4 linked regions of the Anolis sagrei genome follow. The protein of the gene in region 3 purifies or fractionates together with the protein of the main gene of each other region. This does not show direct contact. Links are inferred from orthologs where the notes say so. Each region holds a gene or a part of one and is shown on either strand. Other genes may lie near its edges. The genes, in order: STX7, GOSR2, BET1 and GOSR1.

Region 1 (7,374 bases), on a different chromosome or scaffold from region 3:
CGCTGCCAGTTTATCTTGTTTCAATTTGTCCCATGTTCTTCTAAAAACTGTCATTATTATGTGGCAGAAATATCCATATTAACTATGTGGTGTGCAGATAAGTGCAGGTTGAGCATCCCATATCTGAGATGCTCAGGACAAGAAGAGCTTTGGATTTTTTGGATTTGCACACACATACATGAGATCTCTCAGAAATGAGATCCATGCCTAAATGCTAAATTCATTTATGTTTTATATATACCTTATACCAGGTATGGGCAAACTTCAGCCCTCTAGGCAGGTGTTTTGGACTTCAACTCCCACAATTCCTAACCGCTGGTAGGCTGTTAGGAATTGTGGGAGTTGAAGTCTAAAACACCTGGAGGGAGGGCTGAAGTTTGCCCATACCTGCCTTATACACACAGCCTGAAGGTAACTTTAAACAATATTTTAAATATTTTTATGCACTAAAACAAAGTTTGTGTACACTGAAGAAATCAAAGGTGTCACTATCCCAGACACCTACATGACCAATTGTAGAGCATTTCAGATTCTGAAATTCCAGATAAGGGATGCTCAAAGTGTACTTCATTCATCTCTAAAAAGCAATCACTCCTGACCCCTTATTTTCTTACAGGAAAAAGAGAAAACACGTGGCAAACCGTTTTATACATATTTACCATAAAATACTGAATCACAATCAATAATATAGTCTCCTTCTCTGGATGGGGATCTGTTGGGGGTGCTTTGATTATGTTTTCCTGCATGGCAAGATTGGACTGGATGGTCCCTGAGGTCTCTTCCAAGCCTATGATTCTATATCACTGGAGCACCTTCTTCACGGCCATATAAAATCCAGATTATCTGCTTTGAACTGGATTATATGGGAGTGAGTCCACGACATGCAAGTGTGGAGGAGAGAAAACCACAGACCACTTAGTACAAAGCAACCTGAGCCCTGCCACATGCATGATGTAGGATGTTCTTATAGTGACACCAGAAGTACTCCAAGTGGCCAGCTACTGGTGAAAGGACATTTAGCATAATGCCAAGTTTTTAACTTTGTTTGTCTTTTAAATACATTTCAATTGTGCCCTCAATTCACTTGTGACATGATAAATATCAATAAATCTAGTTCAAAGCACATAATGTGGATTACCTGGCAGTGTAGAAGAGGCCTGGGATAATCAATGTACTATTTTAAATGTTGTGGGCTGTTTTGAGTCTCATTTAAGAGAGGAAAACACGGTATAAAATATAATAATTATTGTATTATATTACGACGATCTTCACTTGAACTTTCTAATGTATATTTATAATTGTTTAATGTATATAACTGTATTTTATGCTATGTTTTGTTGTGTCAGCACTAAATAGTGGCCTGTTGGAAGGCGTCCTGAGTCCCTCTTTGGAGGTTGAGAAGGACGGGATAGAAATGCTCTAAATAAATAAATAAATTATTGTGTTATTGAAGGCTTTCATGGCTGGAATCACTGGGTCACTGTGAGTTTTCTGGGCTGTATGGCCAGGTCTCAGAAGCATTCTCTCCTGACATTTCACCTACATCTATGGCAGGCATCCTCAGAGGTTGTGAGCTGCCATTGATGTTGGCAAAACGTCAGGAAAGAATACCTCTGGAACATGGCTATACAGCCCAGAAAACTCACAGCAACCCAATAATCTATATAAATAAAAATGTAATGATAGTTTGTGGGATTAACATAATGCAAAAACCACTGGATGAATTGACATCAAATTTGGACACAATACACCTATCAGGCCAACGAGTGACCATCACTCCTAAAAACAAAACAAAAAACACACAGTGGAAAGGACTTAACCCCCACCCCCACCCCAACAAAAAAACACATTACAGCACATGACCAAAAATGACTCCCTGCAAGGCTCGCTTCCCAAGCAAGAAGTAGAGAAGGAAGGAAGGACAGGAAAAAAGGAAGGAAGGAAAGAGGGAGGGAAGAAAGGAGAGAAAGAAAGGGGGGGGGGAAGAGAGAAGGATGGAGGCAAAGAGTGAAGGAGAGAAAGAGGTAGTGAAGGAAGAAAGAGAAAAAAGAAGGGAAATAAAAAGGGGGAAAGAAGGAAAGAGATTGAGAATGAAGGAAGGAGAGAAGGAAAGGAAAAAAAGGGAAGGAAGGAAAGAAAGAAAGAGGGAGGGAAGGTTGGCCACAGCAACGCCTGGCAGGTACACTAGTACTTATTATTAGCCAGTTACATTCATCCACAAAGAATGGAAATCCAAAACACAGAAGAGAAGGATGTAAGGAAGCCTACACACGCCCAATAACAACAACAACACAATCCGCGCCCCTCCTGAGGCGATTCCCCCCAGAAGGAATGCCCAAGTGGAAGCAGTGGCTGCCCACACGCCACCATCACGTGTCCCGGCTGCATTGCTCCCTCTGAGCGTGTCACGCCTGCAAAGACACGCATTCTCCCCGGCCTAATGCCATTCCCCTTAATCCGACGGGGTTGCGGGGTGCCTCCGTGGAGAAGCCGTGATTCCTTCTCATCACGGTCACATGATGGCTCCACCCAGGAGGAGAGGGAGGAGACACCAGAAAGGAAGCCTTGTTTTCCATGGCTGGCATCATGTGCCACCCTCCCATCCCTGGGCAGGCTCCACCATTCGCACACAAACACACAGGGAGGGGCGTGTTGCTGCAGAGGAAAGGCAGGAAGGAGAAGAGGAAAGGGAAGAAGAAGGAAAGGGCGGGGAAGGAAGCAAAGGAGGGAGAGGAAAGGAAGGAAAGAAAGGAGGGAAGAGGGGAGGGGAAAGAGAGACAGAAATAAGGGGGAGAGGGGAAAAGACGGAAGGAGGGAAGGGAAGGGAAGGGAAGGGAAGGGAAGGGAAGGGAAGGAAGGAAGGAAGGAAGGAAGGAAGGAAGGAAGGAAGGAAGGAAGGAAGGAGGAATGCGGGCTGGCGCCTCCCTCCTCCGCCCCCTCTAGGCAGGCAAGCAGTCATTCCAACAAACAAGGGAGAGAGGAGTCTCTGCCAGAGCTGCATTCGGGCAAGCGGGAGGGAGGGAGGGAGGGAGGCCGCCCTTACCTCTCAGCCCCGCTCAGCACCGCGTCCCCATCGGGCGAGCCGGGTTCCGGGCTCCAGCTCTCTGGCGCTCAGCTGATCAGCCCGGGTGACCACGCCCCTCGGCCAAGCTCCGCCCACTCGCTGCCGCACCAAAGGGAGGGGCGCTGCCTGGCCCCGCCCACTCCCGGCCTTTCCGCTGACTCTACACAGCGCCGCGTCGCCATTGGAGGGATCGTGCAGTGCCTTCTTTTCACCGTCTGAAGTCCTGTGGCTTCCTCTTGGGGCTTGTAGTTCAGAGGAGGGACCTTTAAAATGCTCAGCCAGCCTCACTAAACTACAAGCCCCAGAATTCTCTGGGAAAGAAGGCAGGCACAGGATTTCAGATGGGATGCGTGCTCTGTTTTCAGCCCTAGTGTGATTAGGCACTAATCGGAGGACTGCCTCATAAACGCCTCCAAGGACCTTATCAGACAGCAGAGCCCCCGGTGGCGCAGTGGGTTAAACCCCTGTGCTGGCAGGACTGAAGTCCGACAGGTTGCAGGTTCGAATCCGGGGAGAGGCGCATGAGCTCCCTCTATCAGCTCCATGCGGGGACATGAGCAAAGCCTCCCACAAGGATGATAAAAACATCAAATTGGCCGGTCCCCTGCGCAACCGTCCTTGCAGACGGCAAATTCTCTCACACCAGAAGCCACTTGCAGTTTCTCAGGTCGCTCCTGATGCGACAAAAAAAAAAAAATCATACAGCAGTCTTGAGACTTACTTACTTACTTACTTAGGCGATCCTTCCTAGTCCGAGTAGGATTGTCTTCCAATATCGGTGTACTGACGGTGGGTCCGTAGGTAACTATGGAGCCCTAATCTTGATCTGCATCTTCTCCCACAGTGAGGGCATTGGTTTCCAGGTGGAAGGCAGTCCCGGTCGGGGTTGGCTTGATGCACCTTCCTCTTGGCACGTTTCTCTCTTTTGCCCTCCATGTGTGCCTCTTCAAATTCTACAGCACTGCTGGTCACAGCTGAGCTCCAGCTGGAGCGCTCAAGGGCCAGGGCTTCCCACTTCTCACTGTCTATGCCAGAGTTTGTGGTGATAGTATGATAGCTAGGTCCGGAAGTGCCGAGCGTTACGCACATTCCGCAATAGCGGTTGTGAATAAGGGAAGGGGAGAGCGGCACACTGAGGGCGGGAACATACTTTAATTTGGTGGAAGGATAGAAAGGAGGGGAGGGTTAGGATTAAGGTTTAGGGTTTGGGTTAGAATTAGGCTTAGGTTTAGGGTAAGGACAGGGGTGGCTCAACCCATTACGCAAAGTAAGCATTTACAGTATAGTTGATTTTGCCCAGGGGTGCTCTTGAGGCGCTCTTGGGAGGAAATGGACCTTGACATATGTGGGTTGTAGTTACTGGGATGTATAGTTCACCTAAAATCAAAGAGCATTCTGAACTCCACCAATAATGGAATTGAACCAAATATGGCACACAGAACTCCCACGACGAACAGAAAATATATATCTGATTGGTTGGGGGGGGGGGGCAAAAATACTGTTTGCTTACCGTTGAAAATTATTTAGGGCCACCTCTGGGTAAGGTTAGGATGGGTTAGGATTGGGGTTTGGGTTAGGATAAGGGTTAAGGGCCGGGTTTAGGGTTAGGGCTTTACCATTAAAGAATTCTTACATTCCTTCTATATCTGTGTTCCGTTCTGCATTGTGCAAACAGGAGCGAAGCGGAAACAGCGTAAGGCTCAGAGCTTCCCGACCCAGCTTTCATACTATTACCAAGGTTTTAAGGTTGGCTTTGAGCCCATCTTTAAATCTCTTTTCCTGCCCACGCTCATTCTGTTTTCCATTCTTGAGTTTGGAGTAGAGCAACTGCTTTGGGAGATGGTGGTCAGACATTCGAACAATGGCGGGTCCAGTGGAGTTGATGGCGGAGGACCATCACCTCAATGCTGGTGGTTTTTGCTTCTTCCAGCACACTGACATTTGTCCACCTGTCTTCCCATGAGATTTGTAGGATCTTTCGGAGGCAATGCTTCCGCATCACACTTAGACAATGATATGTCTCCACTCCCAGCTTTTTTTCTTCATGCAAACCTGCCAGAATCTCTTTCCATTCTGTCCTTAGCAGCGAGCTGTCATCCCTCTTTAGGGAAGAGCATAATAACTCCTCCCCTTGAATTTTTTTTACAAAATATTACAGCATAATATAGCATAATAGTGGCATTGGAGAATAGATGGAAGGGTAGTTTTCCTTTAGTGGTTTGTTCCAGTTATAATATTGTACTTAGCAGAGAGCTGCCATCCCTATTTATAGAAATGCATGATTACTCCTTCCTATGGAAAACAATGGTATCCGTGCCTCAGAGGGTTTAGATCAGTGGTTCCCAACCTTTTTTTTTTTTACCTGGGACCACTTTGACCAGGATCCACCTTTCAACATTAGTATTAAAAGGGTTATGAATCTGTTTTGGTCAACTTTAGATCGCATTGGATAGACCCCATCAGTTCTAGTTTCTGATACAGAACATATGCTGAACATTAAGATCGTCTGAACGTATGCCGACCAGAACATTAAGATCGTCTGGGGAGGCCCTGCTCTCGATCCCGCCTGCGTTACAGGCGCGCTTGGCGGGGACGAGAGACAGGGCCTTCTCAGTGGTGGCCCCTCGGCTATGGAATGCCCTACCGGCAGACATCAGACAGGCACCTTCGCTGCTGACGTTTCGGAGAATGGTTAAGACCTGGCTTTATGAACAAGCGTTTGGTTAAGCAGTGCAACCAATCATAGGAAGACGGTAAATGGAACATAGGAATGGCACAAGGATTATGAGAACGGATCTGATTTCAACTGAGGTGTTATGTTATGTCTGTTTTGTTGATCTGTCTTGTTGATTGTTAACTGTTGTGGATTGATGCTGTTGATCCTGTTTGTTGCATTGTTATGTTTTAATTGCACTGACACTGTTTGATAATTGTACCATGTAAACCGCATTGAGTCGCCTGTTAAGGGCTGAAAAATGCGGTATAGAAATAAAGCAAATAAATAATAAATAAATATGCCATCCAGTAGTCGCCATTTGCTCACCCACAGTATTCTGACTATAGAAAGTCAAGTGGGCCAAACTACAAAGCAAACATAGTATCACAGATGCATGCTGGGGCATGACACATAGAAAACCATATTTAATAAGCCTTGGCACTATAAGAGGGTTTTGCGATATCAGTCACTCTCATTGCAACGGTGTAGTAACAATGTATTGTCAAAGGCTTTCATGGCCGGAATCACTGGGTTTTTATAAGGTTTTTTCAGGCTGTATGGTCATGCTCCAGAATCATTCTCTCCTAATGTTTTGCCTGCATCTATGGCAGGCACCCTCCCAGGTTGTGGGGTCTCTGAGGACCTCACAACCGTAGATGCCGATGAAACGTCAGGAGAGAATGCTTCTGGAACATGGCCATAGATACTGAAAGACTTACAAAAACCTGGTGTACTAACAGTGAGGCTGTGGATCATATTTCTGTTCTTGCGGACCACTGGTGGTGCACAGATCACAGGTTGGGAGCTACTGTTTTAAAGGAAAGAACTGGCAAAACCACCTTTGAGTATTTCTTGCTTGAGAAAATATGCAATTTGTGTGATAGGTAATTTGAAGGCACACCTCTCTCTCTCTCTCTCTCTCTCTCTCTCTGCTGTGCAAAATTTCAATTGTAATTCATTTGTCGTATCTACAGGGTGAGGCAGCATAACTTCCTTTTTTCAAAACTTAATCAAACCCATTGTATGAATCAGAAATTTTTATTTTTATAATGTAGGCGCTTACCTAAAGTTTTGTTTTACGTAGTTTTGAAGATCAAATTAGGTAGGTGACATCCCCCATTCTCCATACACTAAACTGAGTAAAATGATTTCTGGCGTTTGTCATGATTTAATAGCAGGCGTTATGTTGGCAATTTCTTCCTGGATGTTGGTCTTCAAATCTTGTATGGTCCTTGGATGGTTCACATAAACACGGGATTTCAAAAAACCCCATAGAAAAAAATCACAAGGGGCCAAATCTAGAGAGCGGGCTGGCCACTCCAAATCTGCTCGAAAAGTAGGCCTCAACGGCAAAAGCACGCTCCTCACTATTCCAACGCATGATGGCAACTGAACTGTGTCAGTACAAATCTTTATACTCCCGCCTCTCGAACAAGACCTCTAGCACTCCGCTACGTCTTCAACCAACTGAATAGCGCGTATTTTAAAAAAGGAAGTTATGCTGCCTCATCGTGTATTTTGTAAGATTCATACATACGAAGCGATATTAAAAAACACGAGAGATGCCCAGACAAGAAATTTAAGATTCAAAACA
Region 2 (7,848 bases), about 56 Mb from region 3:
ACTCTCATTGATGCAGCCTTGAATCTCATTGAATTTTTGGCTGCCACATCGTAGAGGTAAATATAAGGAGAGGCGTAACAGATGAAATGGAAGGGCCGACATATGCAGACTTACATCTGAATAAACATGAGGTTGGGATTTGTTTCTGAGCAGGGATACAACTGAACCCACTTAAGGCAGCAATCCTCTGAAACTCCACTGGTCACATGAACATTTTCTCATGACATTTAAAACAAGTGCTTTGCCATTAAACCGTGGTCCTCAATCATCAGCCAACCCACATATGATTGCCTTGCAGATGCCCCAAGTCCCTCTTCTATTCCACATGGCCATTCATTGAAAGTTGGAACTCAAAACAGATGGACTTCATTTTTTTCTCAGGCCCCTTCTACACTGCCATATAAAATCCAGATTATCTGCTTTGAACTGGATTATATGGCAGTGTAGACATATAATCCAGTTCAAAGCAGATAATGTGGATCACTTGCTTTGATAATCTGGATTATATGGCAGTGCAGAAGGGGCCTCAGTAACTTCATTTTGCTGAGCCTCTCTTCCTCACCCTGCAATGTGGAAGTAATACTTATTTCACAGGGATATAATAGAGGGTTGTGGATATGTAATGATATATAAATTGCAGGTATTATTATTATGACAACTTCTATAGCTACTGCTGCCATCGCCATATGCCACAAAATATTTCTTTCTTTCTTTCTTTCTTTCTTTCGTTTTATTAATCGCTATAACTATCCTCTGTAAATGAAACCCTTCAGGTAGTTCACCCTGCTGCCATCTGTCCAACTTATTACAGATAGCTTGAGTATCCCTTATCCAAAATGCTTGGAACCAGAAGTGCTTGGGATTTTGGATGTATTTCAGATTTTGGCATGCCTGTACTTGCATGTACAGACAATCCCCGAACTACAAATATCCAAGTTACATACAACTCATAGTTAAGAACGGGGATCAGACAACAGGAAATGAGAGACATCTACCTCTAGGAAGGGAAATTCACTCTTCAAAGAGAAAATGGGGAATAGGTATTTCTACTGAAGCTTTATCTCCAAACCTTGTTTCCACAACAAGACAATTCTTTCAAAAAACAAATATCACAGGGACAGAAAGTAAGGGGAAATCTTCTGAACAGGGGCACAGACAGCAATACAAACACCACGGGGGTGTTAACCCTTCCCTATGCTATTCAAAGTGCATGTACAGAGTTACTGTTCTGATTTCCATACAAATTCAATTTAAGAATAAACCTGTAGAACATATCTTGTTCATAACTTGGGGACTGTCTCATGAATTGCTGTAGCCATTCTCCATAAATGCAACCCTTCAGGTGGCTTGCCACCTACCCAATTTCTTTACACACTGCTTGAGTATCTCTTATCCAACATGCTTTGAGATCAGAAGTGTTTTGACTTTCAGATTTTGGCATACCTGGACTCACCTATATACATCCATAATGTATTGGGAAATACACTGGGGGATGGGACCCAAATCTAAGCATGAAATTGATGTATGTGTCATGGGCCCCTTTTACACTGCCATATAACCAGATTATCAAAGCAGATAATCCACATTATCTCCTTTGAACTGGATATGAATCTACACTGCCACATAATCCAGATTATCAAAGCAGAGAAGTCAAATTATCTGCTTTGAAGTGGATGATGAGTCTACACTGCCATATAATCTAGATCAGGGGTCCTCAAACTAAGGCCCAGGGGCCAGATATGGCTCTCCAAGGTCACTTACCCGGCCCTCGCTCAGGGTCAATCTAAATCTGAAACAACTTGAAAGCACACAACAACAACAACAATCCTATCTCATCAGCCAAAAACAGGCCCACACTTCCCACTGAAATACTAATAAGTTTATATTTTTTAAAATGTTCTTCATTTTAATTATTGTATTATTTCTAAGCGTTTTTGGCGCTACACATAAGGTATGTGCAGTGTGCATAGGAATTCATTCATGTTTTTTTCAAATTATAATCTGGCCCTCCAATAGTTTGAGGGACTGTGACCTGGCCCTCTGTTTAAAAAGTCTGAGGACTTCTGATCTAGATTATCAAAGCTGACAATCCACATTATCTGGTTTGAACTGGATATGAGTCTACACTGCCATATAATTTAGACTGTAAAAGTAGATAATCCACATTATCTGCTTTGATCTGGATATGAGTCTACATTGATATATAATCCAGACTGTCAAATTAGATAATCCACATTATCTGCTTTGAACTAGATGATACAAGTCTACACTGCCGTATAATCCAAATTATCAAAGCAGAGAATCCACATTATCTGCTTTGAACAGGATATGAGTCTACACTGCCATATAATCCAGACTGTCAAAGTAGATAATCCACTTTATCTTCTTTGATCTGGAGGACATGAGTCTACATTGATATATAATCCAGACTGTCAAATTAGATAATCCACATTATCTGCTTTGAACTGGATGATACAAGTCTACATTGCCATATAATCCAGATTATCAAAGCAGAGAATCCACATTATCTGCTTTGAACAGGATATGAGTGTACACTGTCATATAATCCAGACTGTCAAAGTAGATAATCCACATTATTTGCTTTGAGCTGGTCTATATGAGTCTACATTGCCATATAATCCTGTTCAAAGCAGATAATCTGGATTTTATATGACAGTGTAGAAGAAGCCCTAAACACCTTACACATTTACCTTCATTTTATATATATATATTCGGCATTTTTAATAATGTTGTGTATGGAAGTCTGCAGACACTGACCCATCAGCCACTCTCCCAGCCCTCCCCCATGTGGAGAATTTTGGGTTTGGGGCTCCTTAGGAGGAAGGATGCTCAAACCCTGCCAACCCCCTTCTCCTTCTCCCTCCCCTTCCCCAATCCCAAGATATTTCACGGGTTAGACCCAAAGCACGCACTTATTCGTCTGGTGGTAAAGCGCTTCCATCGTGGCAGGTCCCTCAGCCTGGACTCTACTCTCCAAGCGCGCTTTAACACGTCAACTTCTCTCTCAGAGGCCGGCGCTTCCGGTTTCCGGTTTGCTAAAGGCCCTCTCGTGACGTCGCCCAACCCAAGCTAGCCGTCTATGCCACTGCCTGAGCAGAAGAGCAAAACAGAGCAGGAGAAGAAAGAGGAATGTAGTCGCGCTTTGGTTTAGGAGGGGGTCGGAGTGGGGTGGCTTTGCATACAGAATTAATCTATGTTATTCTGCTCTAAAGGATTTTTTAAATCTCTAGGTATGTTTTTTATCCATTGAAAATGGAATAGAAATGAAAATAACAAGGATAAAATCATGATGAGGATGAGGATGATGAGCATCTCTTGTCCAAAGTGCTTGGGACCAGAATTGTTTTCAATTTTCCGAATATTGTTGAATTTGGATTTTGGAATGTCTGCACTTGCATGTATAATATTATTTATTATAATATTATTTAGTATATATTTATTATATATTATTTTGTTGTTCATTCGTTCAGTCGTCTCCGACTCTTCGTGACCTCATGGACCAGTCCACGCCAGAGCTCCCTGTCGGCCATCACCACCCCCAGCTCCTTCAAGGTCAGTCCAGTCACTTCAAGGATGCCATCCATCCATCTTGCCCTTGGTCGGCCCCTCTTCCTTTTGCCTTCCACTTTCCCCAGCATAATTGGCTTCTCTAGGCTTTGCTGTCTCCTCATGATGTGGCCAAAGTACTTCAACTTTGTCTCTAGTATCCTTCCCTCCAATGAGCAGTCGGGCTTTATTTCCTGGAGGATGGACTGGTTGGATCTTCTCACAGTCCAAGGCACTCTCAGCACTTTCCTCCAGCACCACAGTTCAAAAGCATCGATCTTCCTTCGCTCAGCCTTCCCTAAGGTCCAGCTCTCACATCCGTAGGTTACTACAGGGAATACCATGGCTTTGACTATGTGGATCTTTGTTGCCAGTGTGATGTCTCTACTCTTTACTATTTTATCGAGACTGGACATTGCTCTCCTCCCAAGAAGTAAACGTCTTCTGATTTCCTGGCCACAGTCTGCATCTGCAGTAATCTTTGCACCTAGAAATACAAAGACTGTCAGGGCCTCCACATTTTCTCCCCCTATTTTCCACTTGTCAATCATTCTTGTTGCCATAATCTTGGTTTTTTTGATGTTTAGCTGCAACCCGGCTTTTGCGCTTTCTTCTTTCACCTTGATTAGAAGGCTCCTCAGCTCCTCCTCGCTTTTGGCCATCAGAATGGTGTCATCTGCATATCTGAGGTTGTTAATGTTTCTTCCAGCAATTTTCACCCCAGCCTTGCATTCATCAACCCCCGCACATCGCATGATGTGTTCTGCATACAAGTAAAAAAGGTTGGGTGAGAGTATGCAGCCTTGCCGTACGCCTTTCCCAATCCTGAGTCTGTTGTTCCGTGGTCAGTTCTTACTGTTGCTACTTGGTCCTTGTACATTACATTACATTATACATTGTACATTGTACATTGTACATTGCATTACATTATAATATTATAAATACAAATAGATAATATTATATATATATATATATATATATATATATAGTATAATATTATCTATTTGTATTTATAATATTATAATGTAATGCAATATAATACTACTAGCAATAATATGATATTATAATTATATATTTATATTACATGTAATATTACTAATCTATATAAATAAAAATGTAATGTTCGTTTGTGGGATTAACAGAACTCAAAAACCACTGGACAAATTGACACCGATTTTGGACACAAGACACCTAACAACCCAATGTATGTCCTTCACTCAAAAAAAAAATGATTTTGTCATTTGGGAGTTGCGGTTGCTGGGATTTATAGTTCACCTACAATCAAAGAGCATTCTGAACTCCACCAATGATGGAATTGAACCAATATTGGCACAAAGAACTCCAGTGACAAACAGAGAATACTGGAAGGATTTGGTGGCCATTGACCTTGAGTTTGGGAGTTGTAGTTCACCTGCATCCAGAGAGCACTGTGCACTCAAACAATGATGGATCTGGACCAAACTTGGCACGGATATTCCATATGCCCAAATATGAACACAGATGGAGTTTGGGAGAAATAGACCTTGGCATTTGGGAGTTGTAGTTACTGGGATTCACCTACAATCAAAGAGCATTCTGAACCCCACCAACGACAGAATTGGGCCAAAACATTCAACACAGAACCCCCATGACAAACAGAAAATATTTTGTTTTCTAGTTGTCTTTGGCAACCTTTCCGACACCCTCTCGTGACCCCCCCCCCAGGGGTCCCAACCCCCAGGTTGAGAAATGCTGCCTTAAGGCCATCCAGTCCACCTCCCTTCACCAGGGTAAGAAAACATAATTAAATCCCTTCTGACAGAGCCATCCAGCCATAGATATAGATAGAAAGATATGGTTCACACACACATCCACACACACACACACAGGGACCCCTAAAGAAGGCCTTCTGTGATTTTACTGGGAAAGAAAGGTGACTTGTATGACAGGAAGAGAGGGAAGATGGGAAAAGCCACAAAGAGAGGCTCTCTCAGAGCTGGAGAAGGGAGAAAGTGGAGGGAGGAAGAAAGAAAAAGGGAAGCAAGAAAGGAAGAGAAAGGAAAGTGAAAGGCACGAGGAAAGGAAAGAAAGAGAAAGACAGGATTAAAGCTGGGGGAGACGTCCCTCTGACACCCGGGCAACGCCAGGTACATATGCTGGTAGCAAAATAATTATCATTTCCTACATTTATTGTCTAACATAAAAAAATGGGGGGGGGGGGGAGAGAGAGAGATCATTTAATGTATTGTCGAAGGCTTTCACAGCCGTTAACATTGGGATGCTGTGTGGTTTCTAGGCTTTATGGTAGTGTTGTAGCAGCCTTTTCTCCCGATGTTTCACCTGCAGCTGTGTCTGGCATCTTCAGAGGATCACTTCTTTTACCACCATCAGATCTTCTGAAAATGCCAGCCACAGATGCAGGTGAAACTTCAGGAGAAAGGCTGCTAGAACACAGCCATACAGCCTGGAAACCACACAATACCCCAATGATCATTTAGTACACTTCTGATCCATACTTCTTGAGTGGGCTGATTATTTGGGTGATCCAGATCTGCTTGATCGTTTTAGGTTAGAAGCTCAGCCCTCCTGGTTTAATCCAGACAGAAGCATCCCTGAACGGTTGCTATGAATAGTTCCAGGGGAACCAAGAGAAAGTTGTGGAGGAGGTGTTATAAAGAGAAACTTTTGATAGTAACTTTTATTAAGCCACAATTACAATTCCATCCTTGAAGTGAGGCAATTGGAGATCCACATTACATGCATTAATTTGTCTTTTTCTCCATGTAACTACACCTGTGGTCCCCTCAGGACCTCCATGATATCAAAAGAAAAATGGAAAACAAAGATCAGGAATGGCAATACTTGTACTGTGTGAAATGGGACTGAGAAGGGGAAAATTGTGGCAGACTTTTGGAGACACTGATTGGCCACTCGGTTGCGAATGGCGGATATAAATATCATATGGAATATTTTTACATGTGTACAGACTACATTTTGCCTGAATTGAGAGGTTGGAGCAAGTCACCATCTTTTCATGCTCTGCTTGGGATTTCCTGGAGAGACATTTGGCTGGCAGCTATTGAAAAATGCTCTTAAAAATTTGGTGGAGCTTTGATCTGATCCAGCAAGGCAGTTTCTATGTGCACGATGTCTTGTGAGAGCCTAAAATACTAAGTCATTTCAAAATGCTTTCTTGGTATTTCAGTAATCTTAAGATAATTGCCTTTGAGGAAATAACATAGCATGACCTTCAACTGCTAATAGATTAAAGTGAAACGTGCTTCTAATTATTCAGCTACAGGTCAATCTGAGGACTTTCCAAATTTGCAGGAAATTACCTTTCCACTAATGTTACCAACTTTACATTTCTTGGTCAGCTCCTCCTTCTCCCACCAACTTTTCCCATCCTGTTCCCCTCCCTGACTGAGGTTTGAGAGCCCCTGAGAAATTGTTTTTCTGGTCTTGAAGTAATATTACTTTATATTGATTACTTCGAGCTCAGCCCCAATGCTCTTGTTGTGTGCCTTCAAGTCATTTCCAACTTGTGGTAACCCTAATGTGAACCTATCATGGGATTTTCCTGGGCTGAAAGTAGCTTGCCAAAGATCACCCAGTGGGTTTACCAAATAGATAATTGAACCCTGGTCTCCAAAGTTGTAACCCAAACTACTACGTCATGTTGTCATAATACCCTATCTAAATATTAAATTAGTGGATGAATTATGGATATTATAGAGCAGAATATGAAAGAGTTGCAAGATGTTCCCATGAGTACAAACCCTTTTACTTCCTTTATTTAGTTCTTGGTATTTTAGTCAATAAAGTCTATACATATGATGGAAAAACAGTAAGGAAAGAATGACATCATTTATAGGAATCTAATGAATGTATCAAGGACTCCAAGGTCACATCACAATTACTACTAACACTCCTTTTCACACCAGGCAAACAGTGCTTCCAGATGGACATCTCCTACATCAACTTGCCATTTCTCAAGTCGCTCCTGACACGATAAAAAAATATCCTACATCACTAGTATGATGTGATCAAAAGACAAGGAAGAGGTAGAAAAGGTTGAGGAGGATAAGACATTATCTGGCACTGTAAAATTCCACGTCTGAAATAGGATCTTGACTGACAAAAGGCCCATACAAAACATCTTAAGTTCCTCTTTGGCTAGGGGACAAATTCAGCTGAACAATAATCTTTTACTACAGGGATAGTAGTAAAATAATCTTTTACTACGAGGATAGTTGATGCATATATCTACGGCTAAGCTACATTGATTTTAAGTTGATAAAT
Region 3 (7,552 bases):
ATTTGAAGACTAAGAAAATATATCTCTACTGAAAAATAAATGTTATGTTACAATACTTTCTCCATTAAGGTTACGAGCCCATCACCTCTGATTAAATATAATAACATTTATTCTTCAACATAAATAAATTTACTTATTCTTCAAATCATCATCCTAGTTATTAATAGTGATTAAAGGTTATATATACTTTGAGGACACCTTGAATATAATTTGTGAATGTTATGAATAAAACATTGAAAGCATATGCTAATTAAGTAACATTGACTGAAAGCCTTCCTAAGGGTTTATTATCACTGTAGAATTAATGCGATTTGACAGCACTTTCATTGCCATGGCACTATGAGATGGAATCATGAGATTTTTGGTTGGTGACGCACCAGCACTCTTTGGCAGAGAGGGCTAAAGACCTGATCAAACTACAACTCCCATGATGCCATAGCATGAGACATGGCAGTTCAAATTATGTCAAACAGCATTAGTTCTACAGTCCAAATGCACCCCAGGTTTCAGGTTTTGCCATGGAAGCCTCAGGGTTTGGGATGATCTGAACTGGCTACCATACCCCAGGGATTAAGGTTTCCCATCTATATCTTAAAGAAGGCAAGGAATTGCTTTGAATACCGGAAGTGAAATAAGGTTGCAGCCTCTTCATATAAAACCCTATTTGTGGACTTCTTCTACACCTAGGCTTATTGGTTGAGGGTCACTGTAGTTCAGATAGGTAGGAAATCAATTTTTATATGTATGTGTGTATATATGGCAATAGTTACATTTATTAATATGCTACTTTTCTCTTAAAAGAGAGAATACATGCATACACATGCATATATGTGTTTATGTATACATAAAATTATGTGTGTATATATAATGTATGTTTATGTGTGTAGATAAATACATATATATGTGTGTGCATACATGCATATTATAAATTATGCATACATATATGAGTTTACATAATATGTAATGCATGTTTATGTAAATATGTGTGTATGTATATAATGTATGTGTGCATGTAGATGTGTGTATATAATGCATGTTTATGTATGTATGTATATATTGCACATAAATTGTCTCTGTGTGTATATATAAGGTATGTGTACATACAGATGTGTGTATATGTTATTTGTGTACATGTAGATATATGTGAATATATATGTGTGTGTGTATAAAATGTGTGTGCACATGTAGGTGTGTGTGTATGTGTGTGTGTGTATTTTATATATATAAAAGTGTCATCATCAATGATCACTCATGTCCAAGTATGATGGCCTTCCAAGTGTTGTGTCTTAGTGGTGGGCCTGTAGGTGGCTGTGGAGACCTACTCTTGAGCCGCATATTCTTCCACAGTGAGGGCATCATTTTCCAGATGGAAGGTGGTCCCAGTCAGAGTTGACTTGACACGCCTTCCTCTTGGCGCATTTCTCTTTCGCCCTTCATTCATACCTCTTTGAATTCTGCAGCACTACTGGTCACAGCTGACCTCCAGTTAGAGTGCTCAAGGGCCAGGGCTTCCCAGTTCTCAGTGTCTATACCACAGTTTTTAAGGCTGGCTTTAAGCCCATCTTTAAATCTCATTTCCTGTCCACCAATCTTCCGAGTACAGTAACCACTTTGGGAGATGGTGATCAGGTATTTGGACAAGGAGTTGATGGTGGACAATCATCGCTTCAGTGCTGGCAGTCTTCACTTCTTCCAGCACACTGACATTTGTTCACCTATCTTCCCAAGATATTTGAAGGAATTTTTGGAAGCAGAGCTTATGGAATCATTCCAAGAGTTAAGTGTTAATGCATTTATGTATGAATGCATCTATATGTATATGCTTCTTGGCAGGGGGCTGGACTGGATGGCCCATGAGCTCTCTTCCAATTCTATGATTCTATATGTGAATAGATAGATAGTTTGTGTATATAGATATAGATACATAAGTGTGTTTTCATATACAATGTGTGTGTTTAATATGTATTCAAGGTGCAGGTTATTACCTACAAAGCCCTGAACGGTTTGGGACCCACCTACCTTTGTGACTACATCTCCTACCACAAACATGCACGATCTCTTCGATCCGCTGAAGAGGCCCTTCTCTCGCCCCTTCTTCTATCACAGACTCGTCTTATGGGAACAAGGGAGAGGGCCTTTCCGCTGAGGCCCCGCCACTTTTGGAATTCACTGCCTAAGAAGATCAGGCAAGCCCCCACCCTAGCTGGTTTTAAGAAAGACCTAAAAACCTGGCTCTTCCATTGTGCTTTTGGAGAATGACCATTCAACCCATCTGGTTGTCTTAGTCTACAGCTGCCCTCAGAAAAAAGCATCTCTCCTCCCCCCACCCCCTAAAATGGCTAAATCCCATGGTTTCTCCCTGTTGGGCTCCTTTCCTACTAATGCACTTTTATCCCTATCTCACCCAGGGTTTTAACTTTTTAAACATTTTACCTCACATATTTGGCCCACCCTCCGTGTCTGGTTTTAATATGCTGTTTTATGTTGTTGGTTTTGTTATTTTATATTTTGTTATGATGTATTTTGTTACTGTGTGTTTATTATGCTGTATTATTTTGGGCTTGGCCTCATGTTAGCTTCACCGAGTCCCCATTGGGGAGATGGTAGCAGGTTATAAATCAAGTGTATTATTATATTATTTATATATAGGTAATAAATTTGTGTATGTATATGTATATATAATGTGTGTGTATACATACACACATGAAGATGTTATCTACATCAATATTATATAAACACACATTACCTATGCATATATATCAGGCATGGGCAAACTTCCTCCCTCTAGGTGTTTTGAACTTCAACTCCCACAATTCATAACAACCTGCTGGCTGTGTTGTTAAAGGCCTTCGTGGACAGAATCACTGGGCGAAACGTCAGGAGAGAATGCTTCTGGAACATGGCCATACAGCCAGAAAAACTTACAGCAACCCAACTGTTAGAAATTGTGGGAGTTGAGGTTAAAAACACCTGGAGGGACGAAGTTTGCCCAAGCCTGATATATATAATCTGACACTTATATGTATGTGTGTGTGTGTCCCAAAGCTCTCTCTGTGGTGCTGCCTGCCTTGTCTTGGGCCTTCAGGAGAGTCCCTCCCCTTCTTCTCCTTGGCAGCCCCCCTTAAAGCAGGGCGGGAAAGAAGCCCCCCGTCCTCACTCACCCAGCCCGGCCCTCCTCATGACGGCTCGCCAAGGAAAGCGAGGGATGGATAGAGGGGAAAGGCCTCTTCTCCCGCGGATCCCAGGGGCCAAGGCCTCACCACGAACTCCCCTTCCGATCACCCCACAAAGGCCACGACAGCGCTGGAGCCGGCGCCGCAACACTTCCTGAATGAGCTGGCTCTCGCGAGAGCTTCTGGGTAGCGTAGTCCCGGCAAAGCGAAAACAGGAAGAGAGAGAGAGAGAACCCTCAGCCGCAGATGCTCCTGGGTAATGTAGTCTTTGCTTGAATGAGTGCTTCTGCTGACTCAAGCTAGCACAGATTGGGTCTTGAATTGTTTTGAGTGGGGAACTCATTTTTCCCTTTTCTGTCATCCTCACTTCAAAGTAAAGCCACTCTTACTAAAAAAAGAAAAGGGATTATTATTCTTTTTGGCCTATGTGATTTATAAATTGGGAGGGATAGCCAATAAGCCTAGAGAAGACAATTATGCTGGGGAAAATGGAAGGCAAAAGGAAGAGGGGCCGACCAAGGACAAGATGGATGGATGGCATCCTTGAAGTGACTGGACTGACCTTGAAGGAGCTGGGGGTGGTGACGGCCGGCAGAGAGCTCTGGCGTGGGCTGGTCCATGAGGTCACAAAGAGTCGGAGACGACTGAACGAATGAACAACAAAGCCAATACTCCAGTATGAATTACTTGGGCCACATCATGAGAAGACAGGAAAGCTTAGAGAAGACAATGATGCTGGGGAATATGGAAGGAAAAAGGAAGAGGGGCCGACCAAGGGCAAGATGGGTGGATGGCATCCTTGAAGTGACTGGCTTGACCTTGAAGGAGATGGGGGTGGTGACGGCCAACAGGGAGCTCAAGTCCATGAGGTCACGAAGCGTCGGAAGCGACTGAATGAATAAATGAACAACAACAACCAATACTCCAGAAGACAGGAGCAGAATTCAAAACGAGCGTAACAAATTAAAGATACGATTGGCGAAAACTAACAAAATGAAGTTCAACAGTGACAAATGCAAGATACTCCACTTAGGCAGAAAAAATGAAATGCAAAGATACAGAATGTGGGACGCGTGGTTCGAGAGCAGTAGGTGTGAAAAAGATCTTGAATTCCTCGTGGACAACAAGTTAAACATGAACCAACAATGTGATGCAGCGGCAAAAAAAAAAAAAAAAGCCAATGGGATTTTGGCCTGCATCAATAGGAGTATACTGTCTAGATCCAGGAAAGTCATGCTACACCTCTATTCTGCCACATTTTTCAAAATCCAATTATCATGGGGACAGAAAGTGAGGTGGAATCTTCTGAACAAGGTCATAGGCAGCAAAACAAACTCTATAGATATATGTGTGTGTGTGCGTGCGTGGAATTATACTTTATAAATGTTCCAACTTACATACAAATTGAATTTAAGAACAAACCCATCTCGTTCTTAACTTGAGGACTGCCTGTGTATATTTTGAAAGAAAGAGCACCTCCAAATATCTCTGCAATGCTGTCCACATTTCTGGAGAAATTCCCTCTGAAACTCCTATTGACTCTTATTTCATTCATAAGACTAATAATAATAATAATAATAATAATAAACTTTATTTATACCCCGCCACCATCTCCCCAATGGGGACTCGGAGCGGCTTACATGAGGCCAAGCCCGGACAACAAATTACAACAAAATAAAACCAGAGCATATACAATACTAAGCTAATCCATGCAATTAATATGTCCAGTTTGATTTTGGCTCTTCCATTTACATGGTTGAACCTGAAAGTATTCCTCTACCATTAAGCAAAAGGTAAAGGTTTCACCTTGATGTTAAGTCTAGTCGTGTCTGACTCTGGGGGTTGCGTGTAGGGAGTGTTTACCTCCATTTCTAAACCAATTGTCTGTATTTATTTATTTATTTATTTAAAACACTTATATTCCGCCCTTCTCACCCCGAAGGGGACTCAGAGCGGAGCACAACATATACATGGCAAACATTCAATGCCTGGGTCCAAAACATAAACATTAAAAAACATTTATCTAAATATTAAAATACACCATTTAAAATAACACAATTTAAAACCGTCCTAGCCATCTGCAACAAATCCAATTGGCCTAAGGTCATGTGGCCAGCATGACTGCATGGAGCACCGTTACCTGTTTTCGAACTGCTAGATTGGCAGAAGCTGTGGCTAACAGCAAGAGCTCACTCCATTCCCTGGATTCGAACCCCCAACCTTTCGGTCATCAGGTTTAGCAGCTCAACAGTTTAGGCATTTATAAAGTGATAATTATAAACTGATAAGGGATGGGTTTTTTAAAAAGAGTGGTTGGGGTTTTAAGGTTGGTAGAAAGCTTTAATAAATAATTATATATTTATATTTTAATGCAATCACGTTAGTTTTAATTAGCATTTTCAAATAGTTATTGTGAGCCACTTTGAGAAAAGCGGGATAAAAATAAAGCAAATGCATACATAATTGTACAGAGCTGAAGCTGTCCCCTTTAAGAAAACACTTTATGGATTTATATACATTTTATGCCTGCTCTTGGGGCTTTTTCCACTTTTTTTAAAGTGTAAGGTTTTTAATGACTGTTCTTCACCGTCTGTTTCCTCCCGTGATCTTACAGATGTTGCCTGACATCATTAGTGAGCAACCAAGCTGTTATCCTGGGCTTTTAGGCATTTGAATCTAAATCTGCAGTCAGTTAGTTTTTTTATATAAAAAAGATGGCTTTCAGAAGGAAGTCTTGGTAGTTAATGGGTGATCCATCATAATAATTAGATAATGGCTGAGAATTTTTATAAGCACAATCCACTATATCAGCAGCATGAAAGAAAGAGTACATTCCCTTGAAACATGTGCTAGCGGTTCTCCAAAAGGGAATTGTGTAGGTTTTAGCTTCCCTCCTATTCATTTATCTACTCTCTCCCTTCTGGACACACAAAAGACTGGGTAACTTGGAAGTCTATGCTCTGGTACGACAAGATCAGAGCCAGTCTTTCGAAATGGGGCTTTAAGGTGGAGTTCACAACATGTGAGTGTGGAGAAGAGCAAACCACAGACCACCTATTACAATGCAGTTTGAGCACTGCAACATGCACAATGGAGGATCTCCTTATAGCCACACCAGAGTCACTCCAAGTGGCCAGCTACTGGCCAAAGGACATTTAATATAATGCCAAGTTTTTAAACTTTGCATTTTTTAAAAATACATTACAACTGTGCCCTTGGTTTGCTTCTGATATGATAAATAAATTTAACTACTTACAGCTGTATTAATAGATGTGCTGTTGCACGCTGGACCTGTGCATAAGACTGTAGACAGGACATAAATTCTGTGTGCCCAATGGGACGCCGGGGCTGCCTCAGATTAAAGGCCCTTGGATTTCCTTAAGACAGAATCTTTAGATTGCTTAAAGGTTCAACAAAGTTCTTTATTATTGAAAACAAACAGGTACTTTAAGGCTTTCTTAACAGTTTATTGGCTCTCTCAATCTTGTCCACAGGGAACAGGCACTATCTTCATAACTGTATACTAATTAATGGGGAAATGCTTAACTTCTAATCTGGTCAGTCTGTCTTTGCCTCTGTTGGCGTGGAGCCCCTGCACCCGGTACCAACTGCTTTTGGCTTCCACGAGTGACCCTTACCAAGCAGAGCTTTGTAGACTTCCAGAGGAAAAAGGAGTTCAGGTTTCAGTGATGGCTGGCTGAACTCCCTCAGCAAAGGAGCTGTAAGGCTGTATAATCCTCGGCCAAGCTATGGGACCTTTCTCCCCGGCCAAGCTGTAGAAGACGAAGCTTTCTACAGGAGCTCTTGGTTTTATGTCCTGCATGAAAGGCTTCTCTGTATGGACTGAACCCAAAATGGCACCTATTCCCTCCAAAAACCCCAAAAGGGGGCGGGACCAGGGAACCTAACTATAATTGACAGGTGGCTTGCCCTATGAAGCTACCTATCTGCAGAGTCCCTGAAACTTAGGACTACAACAAACATTCAATGCAAAGCAAACAAAATTGGAGCTCCTGGTACAGTTGTACCTGCACAATAGAAGCTGCTAATTGCAATCACATAAATCATTGGGGTCTGCTCACTAGGATAAAATGCTCCCTTTAGTGCTCATCTATTTCCTTCCTGTGATTGTTGTGTGCCTTCAAAGCCATTTCTGGCTTATGGTGACCCGATCATGTGATTTTCCAATACTGAGAGTGTGTTGGTCACCCAAGGTCACTCAATGGCCAAGCAGAAAATCAAACTCATAGCCCAGCACTAAAACAACACAGTAAAACAATCCAAGGTGAGATTATGGACATGTTTGAAGTCGAAAAGTATATTCCTTTTTTATAATCTGGATTGTTCAGTACAACCAGGGATTTCTCTTCCATGAACCT
Region 4 (7,987 bases), on a different chromosome or scaffold from region 3:
GCTTATGGCATTTATATGGGGCTCAGTGCCAATGCAAGGGTTTATAACCCCCAATTTATATGGGCCAGAGTGAAGAGAGAGGGGGTCAGGGAATAGTTCCACCTTGTCTCCTGTGCTATTCGAATAATATAATATAATATATCGTATATACATATATTTATAATATTATAATGTAATGCAATATACTACTACTATTACTACTACTACTAATAATACCATATTATAATTATATATTTATATTACATGTAATATTACTAATAATATTACAATATAATGGTATAGTACAATATAGTAATATTTAATACTGATATTGTACTATTTATTTATTTATTTAAAACATTTATATTCCGCCCTTCTCACCCCGAAGGGGACTCAGGGCGGAGCACAGCATATATACGGCAAACATTCAATGCCGGGACACCAATTCTTATATACGTACATAAACATTAAAAACATTTATCAAAATATTAAAATACATCATTTATTTTGACGTCATCCACGTCAAATCTAATTGGCCTGGTAATCTTTCCTATTGCTGCTTTATTGCCCTGTCCCGAAAGCTTGGTCCCACCAGGAAGGGAGTTCCATAGCCGGGGAGCAATCACCGAGAAGGCCTTGTCTCTTCCCCACCAATGGTGCCTGTGACAATTGCGGGATGGAAAGCAGGGCCTCCCCAGAGGATCTTAATCTCCACGATGGTTCATAGGGAGAGATCCGTTTGGACTATGTTAATAATATAATATTGTATGTATATATACCTTGTAAGCTGATCTGAGTCCCCTTCAGGGTGAGAAGGGCGGCATATAAATGTTGTAAATAAATAAATAAATAAATAAATGGGGGGGGGGGTTAGGGCCTTTTGAAGGGGTCTTTATCACCTGTTTGGGGGTGTTATGGACAGAATATAAATGTTTTAAATAACATTAAATATTGGTCTAGGTGCCAATAAAAGCATCATCAGCATGAGTTGAAGGGGGTTTAAGGCCTTCTAATGGGGTTTTAATGCCAATGTAAGGTTTTCATTTCATTTCATTTCTTTGACTTGTATACTGCCACTCCTAATTTGGCTCGGAGCGGTTTACAGCAGTAGATTAAAACAATACAACCAACTTTAAAATACAATAAAAACGAGAACCGACATAGTCCCGAGTTATTCACCCATCGAAAACTTGTTGGAAAAGAAAGGTTTTACAGGCTTTCCGAAAAGTAAGTAGCTCTAGGATGGTTCGGGTTTCAACTGGCAAGGCATTCCATAAATAAGGGGCCACAATCGAGAAGGCTCTCTGCCTAGTAGAGGACAGATGATAAGTCCGGATGTTGGGGACTTCAAGCAAATTTTGGTCCTCGGACCAAAGTAATCTCTGGGGTTGGTAGGGGGATAAGCGGGCCCTCAGGTATGCCGGCCCCAGACCATATAAGGCCTTAAAGGTTAGTACCAGCACCTTGAAAGTAATCCAGTACTCAATCGGAAGCCAGTGCAGCTGTTGTAGAATTGGGGTGATACGACACCTCACTGGCACCCTGGCGAGAAGACGAGCCGTCGCATTTTGCACCAGCTTCAGTTTTTGGATCACTGACGAAGGAAGGCCAATGTAGAGGGCGTTACAGTAGTCAAGCCTCGAGATGACCGTCGCCTGGATCGCCATAACCAGGTCGTTCCTAAATAGGAAGGGAGCCAGTTGCCTAGCCTGACATAGGTGGAAAAACGCAGATCTGCTCACAGCAGAGACCTGGGCCTCCATTGTGAGCAGAGGGTCCAATAAGACACCAAGGCTTTTTACAGAAGGTGACAGACGTAGTGTCTCGCCATCCAGGGTAGGCAGCTGGATCTCCCACCCAGACGGCCCAGCCAAAGGATCTCCCTCTTCGCTGGATTCACCCTCACGCAACCATCCAGTAACAGCCTCAAGGCACTGATGGAAATTTTCGGGTCCGGAGTCCGGAGTATGGTTTGTGGCACTTGTCTGATGGTTGCCGGGTCTTCTGAATGAGTCTAGTGCCAATGTAAGGACTTTTAGCATTCATTTAGCAGGGTTTAATGCATTTCTATGGGGTTCAGTGCCAATGCAAGGCTCTGTAGCCTCCATGTAGGGAGTTTCAGGACCTTCTGAAGGGGCCTAGTGCCAATGGAAGTGTCTTAAGCACCTGTTTGGGGATTTCTGGGCCTTCTGAATGGGTGTAGTGCTAATTTATTTATTTATTTACTTTGCTTTGTTTCTCAGCCCGTAGGCGACTCAACGCGGTTCACAAGAGCAAAAGTCAATCATAACAACATACAATTTAAAAACCATTAACAGCATAGCATACAAAGTAATGACATATTAATAACAACACATTAACGTCTCATAACTAGAGTCGTGATCCAATTCGTCAGCTATAATTCCGTTCCTATATTCATCATATTCATTGTGCTGCTTATCCGAATGCCTGTTCAAACAGCCAGGTTTTTAGTTTTCTTCGAAACACCATTAGCGAAGGAGCTGATCTAATGTCCATGGGAAGGGCGTAAGACTTTTAGCATTCATTTAGCGGGGTTTATGGCACCCCAGTGGCGTAGTGGGTTAAAGCGCTGAGCTGCTGAGCTTGTTGACAGAAAGGTTGCAGGTTTGATTCCAGGGAGCGGCGTGAGCATCCGGTGTCAGCCCTAGCTTCTGCCAACCTAGCAGTTCGAAAACATGCAAATGTGAGTAGATCAATAGGTACTGCTCTGGTGCGAAGGTAACGGCGCTGCATGCAGTCATGCCCATGGCCACATGACCTTGGAGGTGTCTATGGACAACGCCGGCTCTTTGGTTTAGAAATGGAGGTGAGCACCACCCCCCAGAGTCAGACATGACTGGACTTAATGTCAGGGGGAAAAGTCATCTTTGTATGGCTTTTATATGGGGTTTAGTGCCAATGCAAGGGTCTGTAGCCCCTATTTTGGTAATTTCAGGACCTTCTGAAGGGGCCTAGTGCCAAAGGAAGTGTCTTCAGCACCTGTTTGGGGGTTTCAGGGCCTTTTGAAGGAGTTGAGTGCCAAAGGAAGGACTGTCGGCCTTCTCTGAGTGGAGTTTTGGGCATTTCTATGGGGTCCAGTGCCAATGGAAAGGCTTCGAGGCCTTTGGAGGGGCTTCGGTGCCAAGGCAAGGCTCCTTGGCGCTCTCCCGCCTGCCTCCTTCCTCGGCCTCCCCTCGTTCCCCGCTCCCCAAACGGGGCCTTCCCCCCAACAGCCCGCTCACCTTCCCAGTAGTTGCTGCTCCCACTGCTACCGCCTCCGCCTCCCGCCGCCATCTTTGTTGTGTCCAACGTCAGCCGCGCCATAGAGCGAGTACGGCCAGAGCGCCGCCCGCAGCTTCCTTCCGGTCGGAGGCTAGGCTTCTATTCTAAGGGAGCATAGAGGGCGCGCTAGAGCGGCCGGCATCCAAACATTCCGCAGCGACACCTAGCGGCTGGAGGCCAGGCCCAACCCAATTGTTTCCCTTTTAGCTTTCTTAATTGAAAGCAAGATATATGGCTCGACTATATATATATGTATACGGATATGTGTATATATGTGTATACGGTATATGTGTATGCATATGTATGTGTTTATATAAGTGTGCGTGTTTATATGTACATGTGTGTATATGTATGTACAGGTATGTGTGTATGCATATATACACATATACATACACATATATACATATACATACATTTATTTATTTATTTACATATACATGCATATGTATATGTGCATGTGTATGTACATGTGTGTATACATATATGCACATATCCATTCACACATATACACATACATACATTTATTATTTATTTACGTATACATACTTATACATATGTATGTATATGTTTGGGGTTTTACATATACATACATACATTTACATATACATACATATGTATATGTGTGTATATGTATGTACCTTTATGTGTGTATACATATATACATTCACATATATACACATACATACATTTATTATATATTTACATATACATATGTGTATATGTATGTACATGTATGAGATTTAAAGATGGGCAGGAAAAGAAATGTAAAGATGGGCTCAAAGCCAACCTTAAAAACTCTGGCATAGACACTGAGAACTGGGAAGCCCTGGCCATTGAGCGCTCCAGATGGAGGTCAGCTGTGACCAGCAGTGCTGCAGAATTCGAGGAGGCAGGAGTGGAGGGTGAAAGAGAGAAATGTGCCAGGAGGAAGGCGCGTCAAGCCAACCCCAACTGGGACCGCCTTCCACCTGGAAACCAATGCCCTCACTGTGGGAGAAGATGTAGAGCAAGAATAGGGCTCCACAGCCACATACGGACCCACAAGGAAACCCATGATGGAAGACCATCTTACTCGTCCAACGAGGGATCGCCTAAGTAAGTAAGTAACATGTATGTGTGTATACATATATACACATATATATTCACATATATACATTTATTTATTTATTTACATATACATACATATACATCTATATATGATTATATATATATGTGTGTGTGTATATATATATAGGTTATTGACACGATCAATACCCTAATAATATTATAGTATAATGTTATAGTACAATATAGTAATATATAATATTAATATTATGCTATGGAAATAATAGAATATATTGTATTTACATTTTGCTTCTAAACTGCTCTGAGTCCCCTTTGGGGAGAGAAGGGTGGCATATAAATGTCGTAAATAAATAAAATACATGCATATAAATATTAGTTTACATATATACTCTGGGGGGGTCACAAGGGGGTGTCAGAGGGATCGCCAAAGACCATCAGAAAACAGTGTTTTCTCTTGGTCATGGGGGTTTTGTGTGGGAAGTTTGGCCCAATTCTACCATTGGTGGAGTTCAGAATGCTCTTTGATTGTAGGTGCACTATAAATCCCGGCAACTATAACTCCCAAATGTTAAGGTCAATTTCCCCAAACTCCACCAGTATTCGCATTTGGGCATATTGAGTATTCGTGCTAAGTTTTGTCCAGATCCATCATTGTTTGAGTCTACATTGCTCTCTGGACGTAGGTGAACTACAACTCCAAAACTCAAGGTCAATGCCCACCAAGCCCTTCCAGTATTTTCTGTTGGTCATGGGAGTTCTGTGTACCATGTTTGGTTCAATTCCATCATTGGTGGAGTTCAGAATGCACTTTGGTTGTGGGTGAAGTATAAATCCTAACAACTACAACTCCCAAATAACAAAATCAATCCCCTCCAAACCCCACCAGTATTCAAATGTGGGTGTATCGGGTATTTGTGCCAAATTTGGTCCAGTGAATTAAAATGCATCCTGCATGTCAGATATTTACATGACGATTCTGAACAGTAGCAAAATTACAGTTATGACGTAGGAACAAAAATGATGTTATGGTTGGGTGGTCACTACAACATGAAGAACTGTATTAAGGGGTCGTGCCATTAAGAAGGTTGAGAAACACTGTTTTAGAGAGTGGTCTGGGAGGGTTTTTTTTTTCAGCAGCCAAGATGGGCAGCGATCAAGGAAGCGAATTGTCCACACCTTTGTACTCAACAATTGAGACTGATCCAGTGTAATCCCACTCACAGAGTTGCTCGACACCTCATCGTTGGCCTCTCTCCAATGACAGCATCAAAATCAACTCTTATATGAGACATTTTTCACTGTGAAATGGTCATGAAAAGCATCACATACTGAAGGTTCAAATAAAGAGTATAGAAGGGAGAGCACCCAAGTTAAACCTTACAGTTTGTTTTGCTGTAAGTATTGCCAACTTATAGGAGCAGAGTTGCCCTCTAGACAGTGTTTTGCTGCATAAAACAAGTCGATGTCTTTCCCCTTTCATTTTCCCAAGGATCTCTGTATACCAGAAAGCCTGATTTGTAAATGATCAGAGAGGTTTGGAAGCAATCGTGTCAGTAACCCTGGTTAGATTTGGTTCCACTTATTGACCAGGGTTTCAACAGGATTGTCAATGGTGATGCCAGCCACAGAACCCCTAAAAACCTCTTGGAATCTCAAAGGATCAATTAGCCTTTGAAGGCTGTCCCTTTTAGTAGGTCCTCCATCTCTGCAGGGGAAGGTTGAAGCTGTGATACTAGCCTTGACCGGAAAGTGATCTGTCCATGACAACTTGAAGGAATCACCTCCACCCAGAGATCCATATGTTCGAAGCTGAAAATCTATTATATATGTATATTTCTATATATAGGTATATAGGTTCTACACACACAGACTAGTTACATATGTGTGTGTGTATAGGTTCCATATACAGATGAGTTTCATCTATGTATGTGTGTGTGTGTGTGTATATATCGTACACACATATATATTGGGAGGGAAAGAGAGAGTATACAGGTGTGTGTGTGTATATATATGTATATATATGCGTGTGTGTTACATATATATACCCACATATAATAGTGTATGCATAATGTTATATATAAGTCTATTATGTATGCATAATGTTATATATAAATATATGTAGGTTCTGTCTATATACAAACAACTATTATACTTGTTTACAGGTTATATATAGATATATGGTTTCATATACATGTGTATGGGAATTATGTTTGCAGGTTATATTTATATATAGAGAGAGAGAGAAAGAGGGAGAGGGGTTACATATGTATATACACAATATATATAGCTTATATGTCTGTTATATACAAACACTATTATAAATGTATACAGGATATATAGTTTCCTCCCCCCCCTCATACACACACACACACACCCCCCTATACAGATATAAGTTCTATGTGTAGGTTCCATACGTGCACACACACACACACACACACATTATATATGTGTCTGTGTTATATACAAACACTATTATAAATGTATATAGGTTATATATAGTTTCTCTCCTCTCTCTATATATATACCTAGATATAGGTTCTATGTGTAGGTTCCACACACACACACACACACATATTATAAATGTATAGAAGTTATATAGTTTCTCTCTCTCTATAGATCTATATATACTTATATAAATATAGGTTCTATATGTAGGTTCCATTATAGAAGTTCAATATACTCAAACATTGCTTCCTGCTCAAAATTATTAGAAATATTGTGTAAACCATGGACTAATGAGTTGCTTACCTGTAACTCTGTATTTTTTTTTAGTGGTAGTCTGTGAATTTGCTCATATGAATCACATATGGGTTATCAGCTGTGCATGCGCAGAAGATAACCCATATCTGACCCATATGTGTGTCTTTCACAGACTCCACAAAGAAGAATTCAGGTGTATATGAATAATCTCCTTTTTAGGTCCCATTTCCTGGGGATCTAAGGATGTACTCCAAATCCAAAAGGGTATCCTCCATGTGCATATTTGTCTCCGTGTAGAAGCGCTTACATGATGTAAACATAATGAACATGGAGGTTTTTGTGCACTTTGGAGAGCGGCAACAAAAAGTGCGCCTCACATAAGGTTTAATGACTTAAATGCCAAGGCACACTCTCTCAGCCTCAAAGGAAGCCATCACGAACGAAGCAAACCAGACACAGGGAGGGGAGACCTCATAAAATAGCTTTATACAGATTAGAGCTCAGTGTACATGTTAAAAAAACACACCCACGCGCGCACACATGCCAAATGCACTCGGCTTGGGCAGAAAGAGAGCCACAAAACGAGGCGTTTGCTTTGGAAAAGGCACGGACCCCAACATAAAATGAAAAGAAAGACGGCCGTCAGTGAGAAGGCTTTTACACCAGGCCTGGTTCCCTTTACAAAAATAGACATCTCTGGCAAACGCTTCCCAGAAGAGAAGGGCTGCTTAGGATCGGGATGAAGAAAAAGCTCCTTGAAAGCAAGTTAAGAGCAAGACAGAAAAGGATTCAGTGGGGAGGAACTGAAACTGTTATTCTCATGTCAGATCAATCATTGGAAGCAAAAAGTCCGAGAGAACGACTACTAAATTTTGCAAATTTAGTACAGTAGAGTCTCACTTATCCGATATAAACAGGCTGGCAGAACGTCGGATAAACGAAATGTCGGATAATAGGGAGT

The links.
Region 1: the proteins of BET1 (region 3) and STX7 purify together in Homo sapiens (affinity purification with mass spectrometry; 3 studies listed by BioGRID and IntAct, with this or other methods). This does not show direct contact. The link is inferred for Anolis sagrei from reciprocal best matches to the Homo sapiens genes BET1 and STX7.
Region 2: the proteins of BET1 (region 3) and GOSR2 purify together in Homo sapiens (affinity purification with mass spectrometry; 3 studies listed by BioGRID and IntAct, with this or other methods). This does not show direct contact. The link is inferred for Anolis sagrei from reciprocal best matches to the Homo sapiens genes BET1 and GOSR2.
Region 4: the proteins of BET1 (region 3) and GOSR1 purify together in Homo sapiens (affinity purification with mass spectrometry; 3 studies listed by BioGRID and IntAct, with this or other methods). This does not show direct contact. The link is inferred for Anolis sagrei from reciprocal best matches to the Homo sapiens genes BET1 and GOSR1.

Annotation. Positions count from the first base shown.
Region 1 is NC_090021.1:81,872,201-81,879,574, reverse strand, and holds the start of STX7 (syntaxin-7), read right to left. Parts: upstream 3,160-7,374; 5' UTR 3,044-3,159; intron 2,467-3,043; exon of another isoform or gene 2,273-2,466; intron 1-2,272. UniProt on the Homo sapiens protein: May be involved in protein trafficking from the plasma membrane to the early endosome (EE) as well as in homotypic fusion of endocytic organelles. Mediates the endocytic trafficking from early endosomes to late endosomes and lysosomes.
Region 2 is NC_090026.1:45,855,794-45,863,641, forward strand, and holds the start of GOSR2 (Golgi SNAP receptor complex member 2), read right to left. Parts: upstream 3,046-7,848; 5' UTR 2,963-3,045; coding exon 2,934-2,962; intron 1-2,933. UniProt on the Homo sapiens protein: Involved in transport of proteins from the cis/medial-Golgi to the trans-Golgi network.
Region 3 is NC_090026.1:101,765,306-101,772,857, reverse strand, and holds the start of BET1 (BET1 homolog), read right to left. Parts: upstream 3,375-7,552; 5' UTR 3,181-3,374; coding exon 3,162-3,180; intron 1-3,161. UniProt on the Homo sapiens protein: Required for vesicular transport from the ER to the Golgi complex. Functions as a SNARE involved in the docking process of ER-derived vesicles with the cis-Golgi membrane.
Region 4 is NC_090031.1:28,939,090-28,947,076, reverse strand, and holds the start of GOSR1 (Golgi SNAP receptor complex member 1), read right to left. Parts: upstream 3,343-7,987; 5' UTR 3,304-3,342; coding exon 3,222-3,303; intron 1-3,221. UniProt on the Homo sapiens protein: Involved in transport from the ER to the Golgi apparatus as well as in intra-Golgi transport. It belongs to a super-family of proteins called t-SNAREs or soluble NSF (N-ethylmaleimide-sensitive factor) attachment protein receptor.